Bombyx mori: one gene and its partner. The protein of the gene in region 1 interacts with the protein of each later gene in a pairwise test. Links are inferred from orthologs where the notes say so. Each region holds a gene or a part of one and is shown in the gene's direction. Other genes may lie near its edges.

Region 1 (3,894 bases):
AGCTTTGAGTGTTTCATGTTTGCACCTTGGACTTGCTATGTGACTATCGAACGACGCTAGCTATTTCGCTCAGATAACCTCTATCATCTTTCTTGTACGATTGCGACGGGACTTGCCGAATTTTGTTAGTTATAATATTTAAATTTACAGCAAAGATTTAATGTTTAAAACAAATGCAAGTCCGGTTGCAATCTACGGAGCACAAAGACTCTTGGTGTATACATTTTGCTAAAACACCATCTTGGATTACACAGTCACATAAATCGTTAAATTTTTTAAAGAAATTATAAAAAAGATGAGGTCACACGATACGCCCCCACATGTATCGAATAGGGAAAATGCGAAATAGTTTTTTTTGTTTTTTGTATTATTATTTTTTGTTTTTTCTTTGTTTTTCGTTTAATCTATCCAATTATCTATCCTATCTTTATTTTTGTTTAACCTAACCCGTGAGGTCTAATCCAGTGAGGCTCCACACGTAATTAGCACACACGAGTGGGTAGGCTGACGTACAAATACACGCAACATAGACTTGCACAGAGCCCGCGGTGTCGGTGAAGTGTGATCCAAGATTCGGGTGGTTGTCTGTGGTCACTATATATGTTGGGTGTATTGTCTGTTTGCTAGATGCCTGCCCTCTTCCCCCTTCTCAATTAGACCACAACACATGCGCCAGTAATCCAGAACAGGCGAATTCTCAGGTAAAAATTTACCGTTTAATAAATCGAACCCACAAAAACTACTACTTCAGATAAACTAAGCAATTATACTAGTCTTATTATGTTCAACTATCACTTTCATATATTTAGATGAATTATTGTTTTCTCACTGTTTCCTTTCTTCATTTTTATTTTAATTTTTTCTCTATAATATTTTATCGTTACGTTTCACGCTGCGCTCAGTGTACAGATGAGGGCGTTTTTAAATGAAACTGATCGCTAGTACTTGGTCCTTTACTATTTACATATTATTATATTTAATAACGAACGGAACCAGAATATAGACACATTAGCTCTCATAACATATGCTGACCAGTTTCTATAAGTACTCAACATTAACACTGTCGCATACTTCACTCACATTGATTTACAATAGCTCAATCACCATCTTTTTAAGTGACTGCATAAGCATTCGAGGCCTGTCAATGTGGTCTACACGATTACAGCGTTTTATTTTAACTTGTCAATGACATGCCTATTTGTGTGTACTTCGGTCCGAAGTACTTGCATTAATCGGGTAGTATATTATAACACGTTCTCACAAATGCTTTCTGTTGTAGTTTATCAAAGCATGAGATGCATGTCTCAATCTCGATCAATAATTAGATCACGACGCGGCGACGCGTTTATAAAAGTAAGAATAATTTTGATTTAGTATCTTTCACTCGCTTGGTGCATGGAAACGGCATGTTCAGTCAAAAGCACGAAATCCAACGCGTTCTTAATGTTGTCTGTACTACAAGTGATATAAATAAATTTAATCTCAAGATAAAACATCAAAATAAACAGTTTGAAAATAAAATTTCAAAAAAAAAAACAGGTACGAATTAATTTATTACCAGAAATTCCATTTTATGCTTCTTTTCCCTGTTGGATTGGAAACGATGTAACCGTACTTATTCTACTCAGTAAATTCTAACGCATCGATATGGCAAGTATCGTGACATATCGTTCTTTCAAAGTAAAATTATCATAGATGTCACATTCTCTATTCAAATTTAACTATTCTGAAGCACATAAATTGCAAAATAAATTTTTTCACAGGCAAAAATTTAATTTTTTCACATTCCTGTTACAAAAATAGGGTTGTGGTTGTACGATGAAATAATAAATAATTGGCAACAGGCGAGGGGGAGAGGCGCGTCGAGCGGACAGCCCCCGAACACGATCGCGCGAACGAGCGCTGGTAATGCGGGCACCCCCACCGTCCAGTCGCCCGGCAACGCACCCCCCAGCGGACCCCCCACCTCCAACAACTCCGCGAGCACTCCGCTTAATGCGACCGGGCCCACTAGCACAACGACGGGGGGTCCTACGGCGCAAACAACTACCAGACGCGGAGGTCCAGCGGTCGTGCCTTCCGCGCAGCCCCTCACGCCGGCGCAGCCCCCCTCATCCCAGCCCAACCTGATGCAGAAGTTCTCCGAAATGACGGCACCCGGTGGCGACATTCTTAGTAAAGGCAAAGAACTGATCTTCATGAAATTCGGTCTCGGTGGTAAATAATGTCGGTCGCAGGGGGTCGCGGCGTGCGACTCCCGCCGCGCTGTCTCGTCCACTCCCCCGGTGCCCTGGTACTGGCTGGTACTCCTGCGGCTAATCCAAACTATCTATCCGGCTCTTCGTGGAGCTTGTATTTAATTTAGGCATGTTGTAAATAGTTATATGCAATACACGCACAGTATAGTGGATATCTGATCGTTAGTGCTATCTCGGTAGATTCATGGATGGAGCTCAGACATCTGGGAATAGTTGTACCTATATCTAAAGCTTCTCTATCTCCGAAGTTTGCTCGTTAACTACTTAGGTTAGAAATAAATATGAATTATATCATTGTTATTGTTTATGCGATAGTAGAGTTTGACTTGTGTTATTTCTTGCGTAGAATAAGAAATTATAATGTTACCGTCTAGTTGTTACTTCATATTCCTTACGGTGTAGTCTTGTTGTAATTTTCTAATTTACGTTTTAAATCTAGCTAGCTGTGTGAATAGCCCTTGAAAATATTATAAAACAGCGGAACAAGAATGTGAACTTCCTCTAAAGTCTGATCTCACGGAAAAATTACGATTAGTTATTGTTGTTTATGATAAATGTTTTGTTAACGCTAATCTTTGTACAATGCTATGGTGCAACCGTCCCTTTTAAATAAACGGAATCGATTTAAAAAAATATCGATTGACTTTTAATCGACGTTCGGCGGTCATGATCGTCAATGAAAAATATTGTATGGAAAGCAGGAACACGTATTTTATTATTTATAGAAATTTGCAAAAGTGAAGTGTTGAAAAGTTTGAAAGCTAATTTTAAAAAAAATGACGTCATAATTTCACTTTCATCTCGATTCCATGCTGTCAGTAAAATTTATATACCTTAAAATCGATTAAGTAATTGAATCCCTTTAAGGTATAATAATTATTCTCGAATAGAAACTAAGATACTGTGATAGTAGACGTGATACCATCTATATTCTAATTGTACTATACATTTACTTCACACAAAACATTCTCGACTGCATTGGACAGGAAATTCGTTCGCATTTTTGCCATTTGAAATTGAACTTTATATTCGAAGAAGATGTACAATAACTTGTCATTTATTGTGGCAATAGATAATCGTGTATCGATAAGAACTATATTACGAAGGAAACTTCATATAATAGTTACTTTTCTTACGTATCCAAAAGCCGTAGACGTAATTAAACACGTCTAACGTTTAATCTGGTATTAGGTTCATAATAAAAAAAAACATTTATGACAAAGGCGAATTAACCCAATGACAAGACTGCTTGCATGGAGAAGATATTTTATATAAGTTATAAATCAATAATGCATCACTGATGTGTTTTGATTTCAAGTTAGAAATTCATTACCAAAATAATATCACGTACACTTAATTATTTTAATAAATGATCACCATAATAAATAATGTTTGACTGCGTAATGAATAATCGTAATCAAACATAATTCAGTAATTTATTCCGAGATAATTATAATATTCAATATGAAATGTTTAAGTAATTCTAAAAATTGTTGTACATATTGATCATCGGGATCGCTTGGGTTCTTAGACTATGTATTTCGAAATTGCTCACTTCGTACAAGAATAATTTTAAGTCCTTTAAATCTCTATAATATATCTACATAACAAATACGTTACGTAAATTATATAACAT
Region 2 (4,544 bases), on another chromosome or scaffold:
TCGATAAAGTTGATTTTTGAAAACACGAAAAAAAACAACATTTTCTGAAAATAAACCGTAGCTAGATCGATTATATATATATATATATGAAATGTGACCTTTTCTCTTGGCCTACCTATCTGCCAGTGGCCTCGAAAGGATATTTTGGCTTCAGCGTGGCTGAAGGAGAACTACCTTGGCTTAGATTGAAAGGATTTGTTAACATCTGCCCAAGCAAGAACAGTACTTCGCTGAATCCGCCATCAGATCGCAATCGCCACTAACTGAGAAGATCCGGTGAGTAGTTCAGTACGGGTTAAGTTACACGTCGGACATTTGACGAGTTTTACGCGAACGGTACATAGCCGATGCTTGAAATGCCTAAAGCGTCGAGAGTAGATCGAGAGGACCCGGAAAGATATGTTTAGGGCGACGGCGGTTGTTTGTTGCTCCATCGTCCGGGGTACGGGATGTAATTTGTGGCGGCTACGATAAGAGGGTTATCATGCCGTGCCACTTTCTCGAAGAAGTGTTCGCTCAGCTACTTAGTAATCTAGTTTACTTATATACTAGGTTTAATTCTAAGTCGTCGTGCAAATCTAAATTCCTTACATGTCATTTCGAAGGCTATCCTGCAAAAGTGGGATTATATTGCTTGGAGAGAGTTTATGAGGCTGTGGGGTGACCGCACGTGAATTATGACCGCATTTTATTAGTGGTACACGCTTGCTTGTAATGTTCGACGTCTGATTTAGTAGTCGTAACTATACACAATTTTTATTCAAATATTTAAAAGTGAACAAGAGAAAAGTGTATTTATCTCTCTCGTTCATTATTAGAGAATAAATCCCATGAAAGCAACATATAAAAGAAACTGGCCACTCAAGACAATAAAAGCAAAGTTACTAAATAAAACACTACAAAATCCACACGAGAAAAATAAATTTCGATATAATCTTCATAACTGTAGATGCACTCCTCTTCAGTGGTAATAAAACTATAAAATTCTTCTCTCGGCAAACATTCCAGGTTTCATTTCATTTTATACCTGTGTCGGCAAGTGCCTAAGTCTTTTTGGGTGTTATGATGTTATGAACAAGATAAACAGCTTCGAAGTGTTTGCGTTCAAAGCGAGGGCCCCGGCGCTACGTGACCTTAACTTTAGATGTTATCTGTGCGCAAGTGTAAAATATTGTTATACATAAACGCTGTTATTACAGTTTTGCGGAATCCGCCCTAATTTAAGCTGTGTGAACTATAGTTTATGTTTTAAGCACCGCCGAGGAGGAACGTAGTCTGATAAACTGAGGATTTTGCGCTACGCCGTAATTCGAGGCAGGCTAAGTCGGATTTTGTTCTACAAGGCATTTCAATTATACTATGTAAAGTTTATCATGAAAAACATTAGTAGTTGAGATAATGTTTTTATTACAAATTGCGGTGCCCAGGGGAATTAAGATCTTTCAAACCGGTAAAAGCGTGGGAAGGGTTATTGTTTTTTTTTGTCTACCTACATATATGTAAGCAAATTAAAATAGTGTTATATGATATAAAGTTGGAAGGAATGACTGCTTCATGGCAGGAACAAAAAGCATGGAAGTGGCTACACGCTTTACCATTGTTTACGCAAACTTTAATTTTTTGCGGTTTCGATATCTACAAAGCGAAATTACTCCTTAGAAGACGTTGGTGAGCACCTGGTAAATTAGGTAATTTTTTTATAAAAATTGGTACCCGCCTTCGGTAATTGAACCCTCGTATAGTCGCATCACTCAACGCAAATACACTAAGCATCTTATACGTTAGGTCACGATTACTCTGGTAGGGATAAGATCGTTGGTGTCGGCTGCGAAAGATCATGGCGTGGTGTTGTGACGGAGCGCACAGGTGGTATACATCGTTGACGAGGGGCGCGGCGCTTCGATATCGAGCGGGCGGCGTCGATGGCGGCGCGCGCACCAGTGCATCGGCTACCGGAGGCCCAGGCGGCCGCGTCCTCAGCACTTCATGCGACTCTATCGGCCATACGACACAGTCGGCCGCGCGTGGCGGCCCGACCGCCTTCCGACACCCATATCCTACCCGATCCCGATAATCGTGCGGTAAACAAATCACATGTGATAGTGCAGTGCAGTGACGGTTCACGCCGCCGATGTCCACGTGATTAATCGTGTGTGACACGGCGGATATTCCTCTAGTGTAATTAGTTGATCAATTATATAACGAACGTTGTAATGACAAAACTCATTGACGGAATGTATTCTCGTTACATTCGTAATCGGAGGCCTGGTTTCTGTAATTGAATCAAACTCAGTCATTTTTAAAACAAACGTTGCGCGCCTAAAATCTGAACGCATGATTTTTCTTTTTGTTAAAATAATTAATGGCAAGAGTAGATTAAACTAAATGAGAAATACTGGTTTAAATGACGCAGTCATTTCAAACTCTATCCAAGTTTCTGATTTATACTTATAATATTTCAATCTTAAGTACTAAATACATTCCCAACTAGTTTCACGTAAATTTACAGCTCACCGAGTACTTCGTAATTAGTTCTAAACTATGCCAAAACTTTGATGGACGTGTATCGTCGTCATCATTTTAAAGTTTCATTCAAAGCGTAGCGCGTAGACGCTTCGTAGCATAACCGCTACAAGATTTGCTACGGACGTGGATCATACAAGAAAAACTAAAATAAAATATACAAAAGCGAACTAATTGAACACTTATTGTCGAAGTTGAACATAACTTTATAATAATTAAGTTTAAGTCCATTACGAAAGTTACTAGATGTTTATTATTAAAATTATTTATATTATTATTGTTTATTATTATTTATATATTATTTTATTTATATTATTAATTACTATTATTAGCAGATCAATTAAAACAAATGATAATTGCTCTCATATTAAAAACTGACTTATTTTTAACACATTCAGTGTTATAAATTGGACTAATTATTCAGTTTTTACGTTCCTATTTTATTGGCTTACTATTCAAAATTCCTCGAACATATTTTTTTGTTGTATTGGAAATACACGAAACAAAAAAAATTTAATTATTTAATTTACGAAAAACAAACCTTAAATATTCAAATAATCCTTTTTTTCATTTTTCATTAATGTTGGTTACAATTTCTGAGTTGAATGACCCAACCGCGAAAATCGAAGAAGGAAATCAAGATTCTGAGAACGACTTGTATAGCTGTCCGCAACAGTATTGAATAACGAGAAGTCATTTGACGAAATGGTTCATTTTCCTTATAATATCAAAATGTTTTTTTTTTTGTAATCCTCATTTTTAGAGCTGTTGACAATCTAATATTAATTGACTACTTGAATCACTAAATGTGACCACTTCAATGGCGCCATTGCCGTTTGCCTTGAGACATGAACTTAAAAGCTCATGTGTATTGCAAAAGGCAGACATAAGCAGAGCAGTGGTCCTTACTAGAGTCGACTTTCAACATCCTACCACCAGCAAAGATGTCATCAAATTGTCAATAATTTATTTAAAAAGAAAAAGTCTCAGAATACACTGAAATTTCCAATTTGATTGATGGATTTCGATAACCATTTAACACCACGTGGTGTGGTTAGCCACACATTTATGGAAAAAGAAACTAATGTCGATATTATTTATATAGTAATATTTTCACAATTATTATATTCCACCTTCACTGTGTCATGATATTTAAGCTTTGCTTTTGTGATTGTGGCTTAGACGTTAATGACATATGAAATTTATTAATTAGTATATCAATATGCACTAAAATTACTATAATAGTAGTCACTACATTACATTTGACCTGTCGAAGAGTGTATATAATGTTAATCTCTTCATATCTTTTTTGAATAACGAACATAAATTAATAATGTATCAAAAGCGGAAAGAACATATTTAGTTTTCCTAAAAATGAATAAATAATTCTGTTGCTTATTGTTGTAAGTCATTGTGACCGAATTCTATTATTTTGGATGGTTGGGCAGCCTATTCAAATCTAATAATGCTTAATAGTTACAATAATATCCTGTACATGAATACCAATATGGTTCTTAAATGAAAAAAGGTAACTTGTAAGTGCATCGCTTCTCAAGTGATCAATCAATTATAAAACGGTAAAAAGCGAAATAAATTAAAAGTTTGCGTAAACCAGCTGGATAAGATCAAGTTGACACTAATGGATGTTGTGGATCTTGATGCGGGGCTCTGCCTTGATTGATGGCCGATTTGGCTGAAGTCTCGTGTAATTAATGTGGCCTGACCGATCCGTCGACAGACAATTAGAGGATTACAACCGAAGCTTGTCCTATCTTACGTATAGAGGACTGTACAATGACATTGTGCTAACCTAGCTCGTACTGGCTTTGTGTTTGAAGCCAATGTTTATGTGAATAGGATCTGAGTGGTTAATTCCGTAACATTAACTCTTGAAATGAGCGTTCTCTGAAAGGTCTAGATAATTTAGTAGTTTTACTTCACGAATTGTTAGGTCGAATAAATTTATTTTACATTGCTAACTCTATAGCGATAATCTACATATTTTTACTGTCGTAAAAAGC

What was found.
Region 2: the proteins of RIMS-binding protein 2 (region 1) and protein unc-13 homolog A interact in a two-hybrid assay, tested with the Drosophila melanogaster proteins (2 studies listed by BioGRID). The link is inferred for Bombyx mori from reciprocal best matches to the Drosophila melanogaster genes Rbp and unc-13.

The regions. Positions count from the first base shown.
Region 1 is NC_085122.1:8,935,124-8,939,017, forward strand, and holds part of RIMS-binding protein 2, read left to right. Parts: intron 1-627; coding exon 628-701; intron 702-1,844; coding exon 1,845-2,225; 3' UTR 2,226-3,894.
Region 2 is NC_085127.1:10,041,588-10,046,131, forward strand, and holds the start of protein unc-13 homolog A, read left to right. Parts: upstream 1-1,735; 5' UTR 1,736-2,081; intron 2,082-4,544.